Mytilus edulis: one gene and its partner. The protein of the gene in region 2 purifies or fractionates together with the protein of the main gene of each other region. This does not show direct contact. Links are inferred from orthologs where the notes say so. Each region holds a gene or a part of one and is shown on either strand. Other genes may lie near its edges.

What was found. Proteins that work in one complex are often made in the same cells at the same time.
Region 1: the proteins of large ribosomal subunit protein uL10-like (region 2) and ATP-dependent RNA helicase DDX24-like purify together in Homo sapiens (affinity purification with mass spectrometry; 3 studies listed by BioGRID and IntAct, with this or other methods). This does not show direct contact. The link is inferred for Mytilus edulis from reciprocal best matches to the Homo sapiens genes RPLP0 and DDX24.

The regions. Positions count from the first base shown.
Region 1 is NC_092344.1:113,043,016-113,050,420, forward strand, and holds the start of ATP-dependent RNA helicase DDX24-like, read left to right. Parts: upstream 1-4,394; 5' UTR 4,395-4,589; coding exon 4,590-4,757; intron 4,758-7,405. Other genes in the region: uncharacterized protein, read right to left, coding at 67-261, 741-879. UniProt on the Homo sapiens protein: ATP-dependent RNA helicase that plays a role in various aspects of RNA metabolism including pre-mRNA splicing and is thereby involved in different biological processes such as cell cycle regulation or innate immunity.
Region 2 is NC_092355.1:20,101,493-20,109,369, reverse strand, and holds the start of large ribosomal subunit protein uL10-like, read right to left. Parts: upstream 3,052-7,877; 5' UTR 3,001-3,051; intron 1-3,000. Other genes in the region: probable hydrolase PNKD, read left to right, coding at 3,126-3,196, 3,928-4,049, 4,604-4,710, 5,769-5,827.

The DNA of each region.
Region 1 (7,405 bases), on a different chromosome or scaffold from region 2:
ATATTTTCCATGGACATTATGACCTACATGTGCAATTCTAACATAGTTATCTTCCTTCACCCATACCTGTAACAGATCTTGAGTAATTTCCTGCATCGTCTGCAATGAAGTAGCTTCCGTCAGCAACTGTTATCTGTTCATATTTTTGTAGATTGACAAATGTGTCCCCTTTCAATGGAAGGAATAATGAGGTTCCAGTGAGTTTCCAATCTGTTGTGACATAGGTACTGCTGTTCCTTGGAAGTAAAACAAACTGTCTTCCTGAAAATTATAGGCATTTTCCTTTCATATCATTTATTGCAAAAACAATTATAAACTATAATCTATACTAACTTATAGTGAAATAAGAAGAAAAATTAACAATTTCATCTATTTCACTAAATAGCAATGCAAGACTCAGGGAACATGTTGAATATAATGATTTTTTGTATTATAAAGTTATCAAATTCTCAACTTTTTCTCCACATCCGAGACTATTGTACCTATTGGTGGTCTTAGGCTGCTGATAACTCTTTGGTCAGGTTGTTTTCTCTTTGACACATTCCCCATTTTTGGTCAGGTTGTTTTCTCATGGACACATTCCCCATTTCCATTCTCAATTTTATGATTTGTATTCTATTTTGTCTTCAGTTGTAGATTAATTGATTTGAAGTAAGCATGTAAAACTAACTTTTCATCTTTTGTCGACTCTTACTGAGATCTTTCTTTATAAGTGTGTTCAAATTGATGATTTTACAAACCTGACATGATAGCTGATGTCACATTTTCTGTTGTCATTTCAAATTTTCTCTTCTTTGTTTGTATTTCCATATTAGCACAAAAATCCATGTCAATTGTGTTGTTATTATCAAAATGATAATCAGTGTCACTTGACTGCATCTCTTCTATCTGAAGATAAAAAATATAACTACAGTCGCATTCATGATTGATATAGAGTTTTAATTCCAATTCCTTCCTTTTTATCTTAACTTTTTGCTATTTGAAAAATTGACTAGGACTCAGTACTAATTTGGAACAAAAAGTCTAACAACTTAATACAGAGTTCACTTTCCATGCCCCATTATCATAAAGAATTCTGAATCTTGCTTGTTGAAAATTTAGTGTTATCCTTGAAAGTATCTTTCTTTATATCATTTTGACACTACTTTTATGCTGATTCTCATTAATTAGTGTTAACTATACCAAGAAAGATAACACCAGAATGAAATGTGATGAACTAACAAAATTATTATTCAATTTTTTTTTATTGTATTATTTCATGAAGGTATGTCATAATCAGATGATATCGGACATTTTACGAGTGTTAAAAAGTTTTCATGCAAAATAAAGAACATTTTAAAAATGTAACTAAATGACTGTTAAAGAAAGAAGTTAATAAATTATTATGAAGGAAGGAAAATTTTAACAACTGCAGTATATTATCTAGATAAAAGAACTTAGATTACAGGTGTTATAATAAACAACGGCATGCAGGATGTTCCAATTTGCAGGTATAATATATCATGTATCAATGATAAGCTAATTTGTCTCTGGTCTTACATACTTTTAAGATGTTAAAAATTAATAATGTCGAGCTCACCTGTTAATTAATGCTAAATTATGCAGAGATGCAATAAATTTTCTAATTAGAAACAGTTCAAACTTTCCCACATTCGCATTTTATTTATTTTAACACCAAAGGAATACTTTTGCGGCCTATAGACTACTGCTCTGGGAGAAAAAGGAAGGAACAGTTTTGCTGTTTCGTATGGTAATTTGCGGCAACGCTTTATAATGGCAAACTGCATTCTAAACAACGATTTAGTATCTAAAGCAGCATTTGACAAAAAAACTTGAAATGCATAACATCGTACATGGTATATTAAGGCACAATAAATCCCAATCGTGTGTCTTTTATATATATCTTGTCTGTTATTTCAAACAAAATGGCGTCAATGTGAAATATAAACATGGGATTTTGAAAAATCATAGCTAATTCGTTTTTATCACCATTTTCATAAAATGAACACTATGCGATAGAAAAAAGACTAAGCTTTTAAATTATATGTCAATGTCACATCTATTTCAAGTAGTTATTTAACTTATACCAAAATACAAAGTGTCGATGTATTTGTTGACGCACAACTTCAAATTTTCAACATGTTTCGAAATAAAATCATATATATTGTACCAATTACATTTAGCATTCGTAATTTAGATCAAACTGTAGAAAAATATTCCTTCTTTAAAATGATATCTCATTTTCTCACTTTTTTCTTTCTACTTTCCAATATAATAAAGAAATCGTAGTGCACTCCCAGATTGATAGACATATTTTGACAGAATATTGAAACTCAAAACTGAAATTTCGAAAAATCGTAGAAAATTCTTAAAAGTTACAAGAAACTTCAAAAAGAGCCTAAGCGATAGAATAAGGTTTCAGCTTCATAATGATATCAACTGTTTTGTTTTGCACTTCGCAGTTTTCAAGTTTTTAGAAAAAAATCAAAACACAGTATTTTTTGTTTAGTAATCCGGATGAAACTCCCTCAATTTTCAAGACCGAGGTCTATTCTAATGAGAATTTACTCAATACAATATTACAAACGTATGTTTGATGAGGCATTAAAATGATACCCAAGGCCTTACTTTTTGCTAGGAATAAAAGTTTATTCTTGATTTCGGGTTTCTCTCTCATTTATATCGTCTCAAGCAAGATGACCCCGTGAATTAAAAGACCGATTTATATGACAGGAAATGGAACTCCGTCATGATTTTTTATATTATTCATCATACTTCCGCCTGAGCCAGACATGGTTTATAACTCTGCGGGTGCGCTGTTGGTATCCCGATTGATCTCGAGCCGCGTTTCCATTCCTTTTAAATATACAATTCCTTGCTGAAACTAATGAAGAGAAGAAACTATTGAAAAAGTAAGTCGTTCTGGTTGAAAAGTACTCCAATTTTATGATGACTGACTGTTCAAAAAGGGTCATGGCACAATTAATAAGCAAATATTTTTCTATATTTTATGAACATTGATAAAATCAACAACTCCTGTGGTCAATAATTTCAGGTAACTTGAAACTTTGATTTGGGTATTGACCAAATCCTTGTTTTCTTTTCATGAATGAGTAACACTGGTTGACTCAGGGTCAGCCAGCATAGATGATGTCGTTTAGCAATTGATAACTTTCCAATTTCAGTTTTAAGGATGAACAAGGCTGTTCCTGTTGATTTGGGTTCTGGTTCATTTGGGGAAAAACTTAGTCGTCGGACATCACAACTAAAAGATTTTTTTTTTGTAACATCAATGCATGTTTTTTGTGAAAAGTCCACTAATTTAATTAAAAGGTTGTGTATAGACTCTCACTTTGACGAATTGATAAAAGCAATATGACAGGAAAAGGTTGAAATGTGAGAGTCGTCTATAACTGTTACATTCAACAAAATTAAGTTTCTCATTTGAAGAACTATTTAAACATTTAAACTTAATTCAATTAATGAAGCTTGGCACAGGCACTTGTTTCTATATATTTACGTTGATAGTGGGTCTTCCCATGGATAGAAACAAGTGCCTGTGAAGCTAGGCCTGAGTTAATCAAAATAATTATGACATATTGTAAGGCGTCAAAGCAAAAAAGCATAGTCGCCTTAATTTGTGTTTTCTTTATTGAGTTAAGCCTTCCAATTGATATTTTATAGTGTTTTTTTATGTTGTGATGTTATACTATTGTTTTAGAAAAGGGAGGAGGTTTGGTACCATTAAAATGTTTGCACCTGTTTAAGTCAGGAATCTGATGTACAGTAGTTGTCGTATGTTAATGTATAGTTCATACGTGTTTCTCGTTTTTCAATTTTATATACATTAGACCATTGGTTTTTTTTGTCGAAAGGTTTTACACTGGTAATTTTTTGGGCCCTTTATCAGTCTTATAGCTTGCTGTTTGGTGTGAGCTAAGGCTCCATGTTGAAGGCCGTATCTTGACCTATAATGGTTTACTTTTATAATTGTCATTTGGATGGAGAGTTGTCTCATTGGCACTCATACCACATCTCCCTATATCTATTTCAAGACCTCAAAATAATTTAATATTTGGACTGGATAAAGTCAAAGACAACTTTGGGAAGTTTCATTGTCAAATTGTCATCACCTTCTCTGCTATTTTCTATGTGTATTGGGATGCTTAGGTGTAAAATATCTTCTTTTTCCTACACCAGTGTTACATTTTATTGGAATGTCACTGATTTTGTTTCCTATGGTGTAAAACGAAAGAAGACAAAAAACGTCAACAATAAATAATCTGGAACCTACAACTGTCAACTAAAGCTTTATAAGAATGTTTGTGTTATTGTAACCAGTTGTAATATTTTTAACCTGGGTTCCTGTTTAAATTCAATCTCTACTATACGTCCAGACCTTGAATAATGGGAACCCAGACTATACTTTTAATCTCAAAACAATACAAAATAGGAATGAATAAGCTGTATGGAATAGATAGATAAATAAAAAAAGATGATAAAAATAATTCTATTTTAAAACAGATAGTTTTCATATTTTATTTGTCTTGATGACTTTATGAGATTTGTTTACATTTAGAGAGTAAAAAATGGCGACTTCCATGCACGTGAAAACCAAAGGAAAGTGGAAACCAGTGAAAATTGACTATAATCTTTTATCTCAAAATGATTTCGATTCTTTAATTTCAATAGAAGAACTTACGGATTACGAACTTATCAAAGATTATACCTCTGGAAACCCTGGAAAATCAAAAAAGGTAATAAAGTGTGGTCCATAAATCAATGGCATGGGCAATTTTAGGCACCCAGTTCTCACGGCAGTAGTCAAATCGGCACCTGGTTAAGGATGTTCGCTCCTCTACATTTTGAATTTTTGCTAGATTTTCGAAATCCTCTGGTTTTATCCATGTATCAACATTAAAAAAAATTGCCCAATAACCCCTACTTTTCTTTTCATATTTTTATTACATATTATTTAAAAAGCCATATTTCAAAATCTTATGAAATCCTTGTTATTTTTCCATAGTTTTTAAAACAAAAAAGGTGACAATGTTAAGTGAAAGAAAAATCTAGAGAGAATTATTTCCCGCCAAATTTTCAATGGCTTATATCTCGAAAACAAACACACGGACCCTCCATTTTTTTCTGCTTTTTTAGTTTCTTTATATATATACTTTCAATGTATAACAGTTTTTTAAAAAGCTTGTTATTTTTCAACAGAGTAGCGAACATCCTTAAATCGGCACCCAGTAGTCAAATCGACACTTGGTTAAATCGGCACCACTACTGGATATCACACAGGTTCACGTAAAATTTTGACGTCATAAAACAAAATATCTGACGCCACAATGGAAAAGTGATTGTTGTATGCGTCAAAAGTTCAAGCGGCATGGTCAGCCGGGATTAGCGATAAGGTATATTTGTTGCTGACGAGATTTTCACTTTAATATGTAACTTTTGCGTTTGACTGATAAGCGATCTATAAACAGATAAATATGTGGACATTATCGAGTGCAAATTAACATACCTTTTTGCTTATAACTGTGTTAACACATGCGAAAGAAGATCTCATGAATGTTTTGCGGCAATCTCCCATGCAGATTTATCGGTCCTTACTCACTCTCTCAGAGCAAGGAGCGATAACTCTGCATGGGAGATTGGTTTAGCAGGAAAATTGAATGCCTACTCAAATCCAATCTATTAATAAAATCCATTTTTCACAGAAGAGCGTCTGTCATGCACTTGCACTGCACTATTATTAATATATTAGAAGGAAGCAGGACAAATCGCCCCACTGGCAAAACCGCCCCACACCAAATCGCCCCACTTTTTCACCAACCTGCCCCACTATTAAAAAAAATAAAAAAATCGCCCCAACCTGGTTAACCAACTCGCCCCACTTTTTAAAAAAATGATTAATCGCCTCACTTTTGAAAAGGGTTAAATCCAGTTAATTTTTCCCCTGTCAACTCGCCCCACTTATTGAAAAAAGGAAAAATCTACTTCTATTATATGTAATTTTCAGGTCTACCAACTAGCCGCACTTAAATGAAAACTTATTTTGATTTTTGTGATCTACACAGAATACAAAAAAAAAAAAATTGAAATCAGTTTATTAAACTTTTTTAACATTCTTAAAATATAATTGCAAAGACATTTTTGTATCATTATTGGAGAATAACTTTATACTTGTAAGCTTAGTTATTTGTATAACAATTGAAAAGAAACCTGTTAATTGTATCATAATCACACAATTAATTGATGCGTGATTAACATTTATATATAACTTTATTGCAAAAACAGAGTTTTTAACAGCAATTTGATGTTATAGCACTTCACTTAGGTTTTCAAAGGTATTGACGTGGGCAGGGACAAAGATATACAACGGGATTGCATCTTTTTTATAAGTGGTTTATCTATTTGTCATGAGTGGGGCCAGTTGACAGCTGACCGTATTTCAGCGGGATTTTAACCCTTTTCATAAGGGGGGCATGTTATCATACCTATTTGCAATGGGAGTTTACCCTTTTCATAATGGGGCGAGTTGGTAAACAAGAGTGGGGCGTTTTTTTTAGAAAGTGGGGCGAGTTTGTGAAAGAGTGGGGCGATTTGCCAGTGGGGCGATTTGTCATGGATTCTATTAGAATAGAATGATATTCAAATGGGTGAGAATTATATATAGAAAAGTAAGTAAGTAAGTAAATTTTATTTATAGTCCGGCATGATATGTACAATTTAACAAGGTAAACATGAGCTCTGTAGAGCTCTTAACCGACTTGATACTTAAAACAAATAACAAATTATCAGCACAGACTACACATACAAATAAAACACATGCATAATATAATAGCAAAGCAAACATGCATAAATCAAAGCAAGCAAGCTAAAAGAAAGGAAAAGCAAATTTTGCTTTAACTGGCACAATGACATACATTGTAAGCTAAGCAAATAAATAAAATAAAAGCAAACAATAAACAGAACACAGGGCCAGAAGATCCAGCTCTGAGAACAGCAAAGTTAATATCTACATGAGCTACAGAAGCAGTTTTCTGAAGAGCACCATGAAGAAATAAAATGTTTGAACTTTACCAAAGTTGAGGGGCTCCATGCATGGTTAGGCAGGGAGTTCCACAACTTTGCTGCCGACAAAGCTAAAACTCCTTTTGCCATACCTTGTAGTTCTTGGTTGTGGTAAATCAACTGTGAGTTTATATCTAAAATTATATGAGTTATCTTTAAAATTTAATATATTGTGTAAAAACTCAGGACTGGATTTTGTTAAAATTTTGTAAGTTTCTAATGCCATGCTTCTCATGCGACTGATTTTAAGAATTGGTAATTTAGATTGTTCAAGTAGTTGTTCATATGATTTATTGTAGTCATTGTAGATGAATCTGAGCGCTCG
Region 2 (7,877 bases):
GACGATGGCTTCCCTGGCTACTATTGCTCAAGTGGGAGATCTTCATAATAAATGTCAATAAAAACTTGTTTGTAGTTAATTGTGTATTTATTTCATTCACTAACACCATGTTCACAGTTTTATTCATGTTTTGATAATTTTTTCCTCATAAAATATTCAAATTTTCAAATTTTCGGCATTATCTAGGTGAAATTCTCAAAATTCTGCTCTTTGACCCCAAATCGTAATTTTTTAACCCAAAACGGCAAACTTTTGAAAAATTTTCTGAGGCTGTACAAATTCCTCACACTGAACGATGTCCATTCCAAGTGTTTTGTACATAAAACTACATTTTATGTCAAAAAAGTATACTAGCTTGGCATCAATTCTTCCATATTCTTTCAAAAAAATGTTCCCTCATTTCAAATTCTCGTAAATTCCGTAAATTTCGTCTGATTTTGACACGGTTTTCAACAAACGGAAGCGCCATGTTTATACTTTCATATGGGTATTCATCAAAGAAAGATAACTCATGTTTGCACTGTTTTGAGCGGGAAACATAAAAGATGTATTCCGATCCCGGTAAAACGGGACTCATCGTCAGTTGTCTGAAGCGTGAATCCCGGTAAACCGGGACTCATCGGCGAAAGGGTTAATTTTTATTTATATTTCAGAAATTGAAAAAAAAAAAATTGAATATTCGGGTCTGTCTGGCAACTGTTCTGGCATATACATGTATGCAATATATCCGTCACAACTTTCGCATTGACACCACAATAATTCTTGAAGACCAATACTACAATGCAAAGGTGGATTCAGAGGGTTTTTCAAGGAGCCCTGGCCCCCCCATTTTCTGGGAAAAAATTGTTTAATAGGGCTCTTCACATTAGTTCGGCCATATTGGATAGGGGGCAGATTTTCAACATTGAGGTAAAAATGTTGTGAAAAATATAGGAAAACATTATTAAAACAGAGCAGTTGCATGGAAACATAGGATTTCCCATACTTTCATACTATTTCCACCTCTTTTTAAGAAATCTGCCCCCTATCCAATATGGCCGCACTAACCATGAAGCCTATTATATTATTATATGGGGAATCACTTAAGCATGACGGGAGTGGGCCCCCTCTTTGGCAGTCAATCGGTCCCCACTTTTGAAAATTTAGGATCCCCCACTGCAATGGGAGCTACTTTTTGATTTTGAGGGGTTGGAGGATAGGAAGAAATTAAAAAAAAAATCAGAATGAGAAGCTGCAAAAAAAGTCGGGATGACCCCACTAAAACTTGTTATATCGTAAATCTAAATTGATTTATCTTTACAATGGTGTATAACATGCCTACATTTGTTGTCGGAATCATCCGTACTTTGGTAGGATTGCTACGGATGATTCCGAAAACAACAGTAGGCGTGTTATACACCATTGGCATTGTGAAGATATGAATCAATTTTGATTTACGGCATAACAAGTTTTAGTCGGATTGACAACTGAGACGCAGAATTTTTAATGGAATTTTGTCACTGTATGACATTTTTCAAAATCGTGAGTTAAGTACCTTGTGTTATATAAAGGTAAATAGGGGGAAAATTCTGAGACGAGTGCCTGTGATAAGGACCTAAAAAGAGTGGAAAATATAAAAATGCATGATACAATTACAATTACAACAAAAGAGATTCAAGGCAAAATTTTCATCTCTCCGATCAGCGATATTGTTGGTTTTTTTCAAAACTACCTGTACCCTTTTTATTGGGAAAATATGCGTAATTTTCATAGAATAAACCATGAATTTGACTGAAACTTAAATTTAGACCTCATTTCAAGAGTCAAATCTTGCTTTGAAATAAGACCCCCTTTTGTCAGTGATGATACATAAATAGACCCTCAATTCTGCACTTAGTAATTTTAGGCATGAAAAAAATATAAATGAGTGTTTTTAAGTTTGAATTCATGCAGTTACTACTGAAACTGCACCGTTTCAGGAAGAAGTTGTCTTTTTTGGGAATAATTTTAAGCCATTTTTTTTCAAATTGGGATTTTTCTCCACCAGTTGGAGAAAAAGCCCTTTATCTGTTTATTCTCCATTTATTTAAGGCAAACACTATCACTGATTGTTGTATTAGAATGGCAGTCTCTTTAAATAGGATGAACTGCTAATTTTGAGTTTTAAGTGGTTTCTTTAAGGTTCATCATAACCTTTTGGCTAAAATGGCCGTATTTACACCCCAAATTTTACTCTGAGTACAGACTAATCTATACACCTGCATCAGTTTTAAGGGATGGCAGGAACTAGATATATAAATTTTAAATGCATTTTATGTTTCAGAAAGTTATAAACTTTTCTAGATTTTGCTATCCATTTTTTTTCGTTCCTGCAGAAGGTGCAAAAATTAACTAAGTAGTGAAAACGATTGAGAAGCTCCCCTCATATAATCAATGTTGTGAGTAGTATTGATTTAAATGGACAATAGATGGACAATAGACACCTGTAAACAATAGGTGATTTAACAGGTTTAAACTGTGTAACTGAGTGGACCGTATCAAATGAAACTCGGGTGTTTGTTTATTTTGCTATCTTCTGCAGACTGGAAAAAAATGAACATCAAAATTCAGGTTAGTTTTTAATTTTCTGAAACGTAGACTTCATATAACTTTTATATATCTAGTTCCTGCCATGCCTTAAAACTTTGCTGGATGTACCAGTTTGTCTGTACTCATAGTAATTTTGGAGGTGTAAACACGGCCATATTTTTCAATTCCTTATGATGAACCTTAAGCGTAATACCATTTATAAATATGACTATTACGCCTCACGTCCCCCCTTTTTTTTTAAGTGTTACTAACACGTGGTTTCTAAGTCTAAATAAAATACCCCAATTTTCAATGAAATTTTGTACTCGTTAACATAGTGAAGAAGATAGACTGTTAGTCAATAGCAAATGGGAACTTCTTAACAACTTTTTGACATAAGTTGTATTTGATAAATAATTATTTAATCAGAGCTGTAATTTCTAACGTCCGTACCCTGATATAAATGGCGAGTAAGAGAAAAACACGTGGTTTGCAGCGCACCACTCCTAGATCAATACAAGGGAAATAATTCTAGAAATAAAAAGCGGAATTTTCATGACATACCGTCTCAGTTTCGAATGTTACATTTTCAAGACAAAATTCTCACAAAAATGACAACACAAGAAGGCGGTTGTTTATTTCAAATAGGGTAAACGGAATATATATACCTTAGATACGTATTGTCATTTCAAATCTGAAAAGAAACTGTAATCTCAGTGTCTTGTTTCTGTCAGATAAAATTGAGAATTGAGGAGTGTGTCAAAGAGACAACATTGAGTTGATAATGATAATTTCCTGCAGTCTATTTATCTGTTTATTTCATGATTGCATAATATACAAATCCTTGATAAATAATGAGGGTATTAACAGATGCCCTTTACCGTCATTTTCAGCATCAATTTGGTAAAATTTTTACCGTCATTTTCCAAATAATAACCATTACTCAATACACCTTATCGCTATCTGTCCGGCATTACAGGATATCACACAGGTTCTTGTAAAATTATGACATCATAAAACAAAATATCTGACGCCACTATGGAAAAGTGAATGTTATACATTGTATCACGTCAAAAGTTCAAGAGGCTGGGTCAGCCTGTTACAGCAATAAGGTGTATACTGACACTGTCAATGATTGATGTTTTTGGGAAAGAATCAGTCATTTTTTTTATCGTCTTTTAGAATGAGTAACTTTCTAAGAGTTTGAAATACATGTAACATACATGTAGGTTATCTGTTGATAACTGCTTTCCAAAAATATTAAGATGCATGTATTTATAGACAAACACATATACATTTGTAACTTGTGTTTTCAGTCATTTGATTTAAGTTTATTGTTATTCATATTTCCTACTTACATTTTTAATATTTGATTGACAGGTATTGGTTCTACACTAGGACTTGTCTTGGTTATATTTATCACAGGAGAGATGTTAACAAAGCTAGGGAAAAATATGGAGAAGGAGAAAGTCATTCTGTCATACAAACAAAAACATATAATGGTATGTAAATACATGTATAAAAAGAAGATATGGTACATTTTTATGATTGCCAATGAGACAACTCTTCACAAGAGACCAAAATGACACAGACATTAACAAGGGAGACGACTAGTAAATAATTAATTGTGCAGATATTTTGTTGTCTTCTTTTTCTGATTGTGAGACAATGATTATGCCATAAAGGTAAAGATTTTATGACTACATTTTTTGTACATGTAAGGCCAAAAAAAAAAGTATGTGTGTTTACTGTCACATGCTGAAAAAAAGGGTAGGTACTAAGATAGGTAGGGAATTTTATTTATATTTTAAATTAAGTCTTAGTATGTGAGAAACATTGTGACTTTAACAGTGCTTAATCAAAAATGGCCAAAATAACTTTAGAGTAGGGGTACAGTAAACACACATACTTTTTTTTGCCTAATATATATATAAACTTTATGGTTATGCCATTTTGCCATTTGACTTGTAAACTTCAGTTGTGATAGTGGTACATTTATACTGATATACATGTATACTGTAAGAGTTCTTTCCTAATTATTCACTTTGTTTTGCAGATTTGAAGATAACACCTGTCCCTATGTCTTTAGACAACCTGGCATATGTAATAACAGATGGCAAAACAACAGTAGTTATAGACCCTGGAGATCCAGAACCTGTTATTGTAAGTAACCACCAGGTGGAGCTGTTCATTAGATTATTTCACTCTCTCTGTTTGAACTAGTACTGTTTAAAGTGGTAGTACCGTGGTACCTAACACTACAGGGAGATAACTCTGTAAAATCAGCTTAACTTTTTAATCACATTGTATTGTTAAGGAAATATTAAGCTTCTCCATGATCAAATTTAGTGCTTTCCAAATTGATATATATATATCCAATGAAATTTTTCTTTATATTTTTGTAAAATGGTCAAAGTAAATATTTTGTCAAAATTTTAGGAAAATTAAGCGCGCCAAAAAAAATTTAGTCAAGGTGTTAGGTACCACATGCACCTTAAGAGGGGATGTCATCAGTTGCCAAACATCTTGTCACAATAAGTTATCCTTGTGGTATTAAGGGCTGGAGGATGCACTTTACCAATATGTTGAAACTATGAACAACTGTCAAAATTACAAGCGAGAGGTTTAGCTAGCTATAAAACCAGGTTTAACCTACCATTTTCTCTTGTTTCTATTTTTCTACCTCATAATAGGATTTACTTTTCAACAAGAGTTAACAGTTGAAGAAAAAAAATATATATATTAGGATCCTTTACTATAGATAATTTAGCTGATCTGTAACAATAACATCTTCATGCCTTATATATCATGTTCTGCAGTACGCCGCTAGATTAAAACTGACGTGGAAAGGTAATACGCAGCCAGCGAAAGCTCTTATTTTGAGAGCCCAGGTGGTCGTGTGGTCTAGCGGGACGGCTGCAGTGCAGGCGATTTGGTGTCACGATATCACAGTAGCATGGGTTCGAATCCCGGCGAGGGAAGAACCAAAAATTTGCGAAAGCAAATTTACAGATCTAACATTGTTGGGTTGATGTTTAGACGAGTTGTATATATATATATATATATATGATGATATTCGTCTATTTTATTTGTAAAATATAAACTTCTTTTGAAATGTGTGAAAAAAAATTCAAGGAAAAAGTAAAAACTATCTTCATTTTGAAAATAAATAACATAATGAAGCTTTTCTAAACTTAATATTAATGTTATTTTTCATTTAGGAATACCTTGAGAAGAATAACATAATACCAGATGCTGTTTTGGTGACACATAAACATTGGTAAGTCTGTATAGAGTGATCAATAGAAATGAAAATTTCTCAGTTTACATCTTTTAATGCACAAATATTAATAATGTGGAACATTTTCTTTTTATGCCCCACCTACGATAGTAGAGGGGCATTATGTTTTCTGGTCTGTGCCTCTGTTCGTCCGTTTGTCCGTCCGTTCGTCCGTCAGTTCGTCCGTCCGTCTGTCCCGCTTCAGGTTAAAGTTTTTGGTCAAGGTAGTTTTTGATGAAGTTGAAGTCCAATTGACTTCAAACTAAGTATACATGTTCCCTATGATATGATCTTTTTAATTTTAATGCCAAATTAGAGGGTTTACCCCAATTTCACGGTCCACTGAACATAGAAAATGATAGTGCGAGTGGGGCATTCGTGTACTGGGGACACATTCTTGTTTTATTAGAATATAATATATTTTATTTTATTTTCCTTTCATTTAAGGTTGGTCCTAACACTGAACTCTGTAGTATCAGCAGTGTTCTCCCCAGGCCTTTTAAGCATACGCTACACTATATTATTTCCCTGTGATGCTATTATAATTTATTTGAAGGTGCTATATTTTTGTTTCAATATATCACAAATCCATGTCCTAAATTTTGAACTTTCAACAAATAACGCTTATGATCATAAAAGTTATATTACCTTTAATTGTAATCCCTTCAAGTCGGACAATAGAGGCAATAAGAGTAATTAAATAGGTTTTAATTGCCCTTTGGGTGATTTGGATGTGAATACCCCAAGCTGACACTTGTGAAATGACTTATACCATGGGTTTGCAATCGTCAATTTTGACATGAAAAGAATGCATCATAAAATCATTAAACAATTTGAAATCTATTTTTTTTTAATACTGAATTTCAAAAATTGAAACAACTTTTCTTTCATAAAAAAGGTTTGGTCATTAAGTTTTTGCAACTTTGAAAAAAAACTTTCTGTCTCTTCCACCGGTTCTAGTACTATTGAGAGCGAAAATTTAGATTTTGAGCTAAATAAGTTTTAAACTTCTTTAGAAAATGATCATAATTGGCTTTAGTTTATGTTTAATCCATTTAATGCATTAATAGCGTCATATTCATTCCCAATCTATTGCCAATCATTGTTTATTACCAGACTCATTTTTGTAAACTTTTTCTTTGGCCGCCATTGCACATTTTTGTGTAAACTACGGGTCTGAACCGGACAGGATATGATAAAATTACGCATTTTCACGATAGCATCTACAGATGCACAAATGGTACAGTAGACAGAAAAAATATACCAATAGAGAAAACTACGCAAACAGACTATTTGTTAGATAACTTTGTTAAAAATATATATAACAATGAATTTCATAGACTTGATAAAGAAAAAAGTTTTTAAATTGAAATTTTATTTTTATTTTTATGATACTTTCCCTTCGATTTTGTCTTCACTTTTAATATAAAAAAAACAGTTCTTTTTTGTACTAGATATATAGTATTGTATATATACAGGTTACACTATAATAAACCATTCATTCATTTTATAATTATAGTTGGGTATAGGTAGGGTAACTGAAACCGCATATTTTTTTATTTGGCACAAGAGGAAAAAAATAATTCTGTAACTATAAATGAATAAAGAAAACATTAACTGAAACAACTGTTTTCCTGGTTATAGTTTAATTGTATTCTCAGTAATGAATTGAACAATATAAACATATATAACATAAAGGAAATAGAGCATCACCATGATGTGACAAATAGACAAATTACCGTAATGTTAAAATTTTTTTACGCCAAATGTGATACTATTCAAAATTTCTGGGGAGAGCACTGATCAGCTTAACATTTTAATCACACTGTATTGTTATAGGGATTTTAAGCTTCTCAACGATCAAAACTAGTGTTTGTCAAACTGCTATGTAACCAGTGTAAATTTTGATAAAATGGTTGGTTCAAATTTAAAATTTTTATATTTTTGTCAAAAGGTCAAAGTAAAAAATTTTGTTAAAATTTTATGTGAAAATTAAAAGAGCCAAATTAATTTTAGTGAAGGTGTTGGGTACCACCTTAGACAATTATTT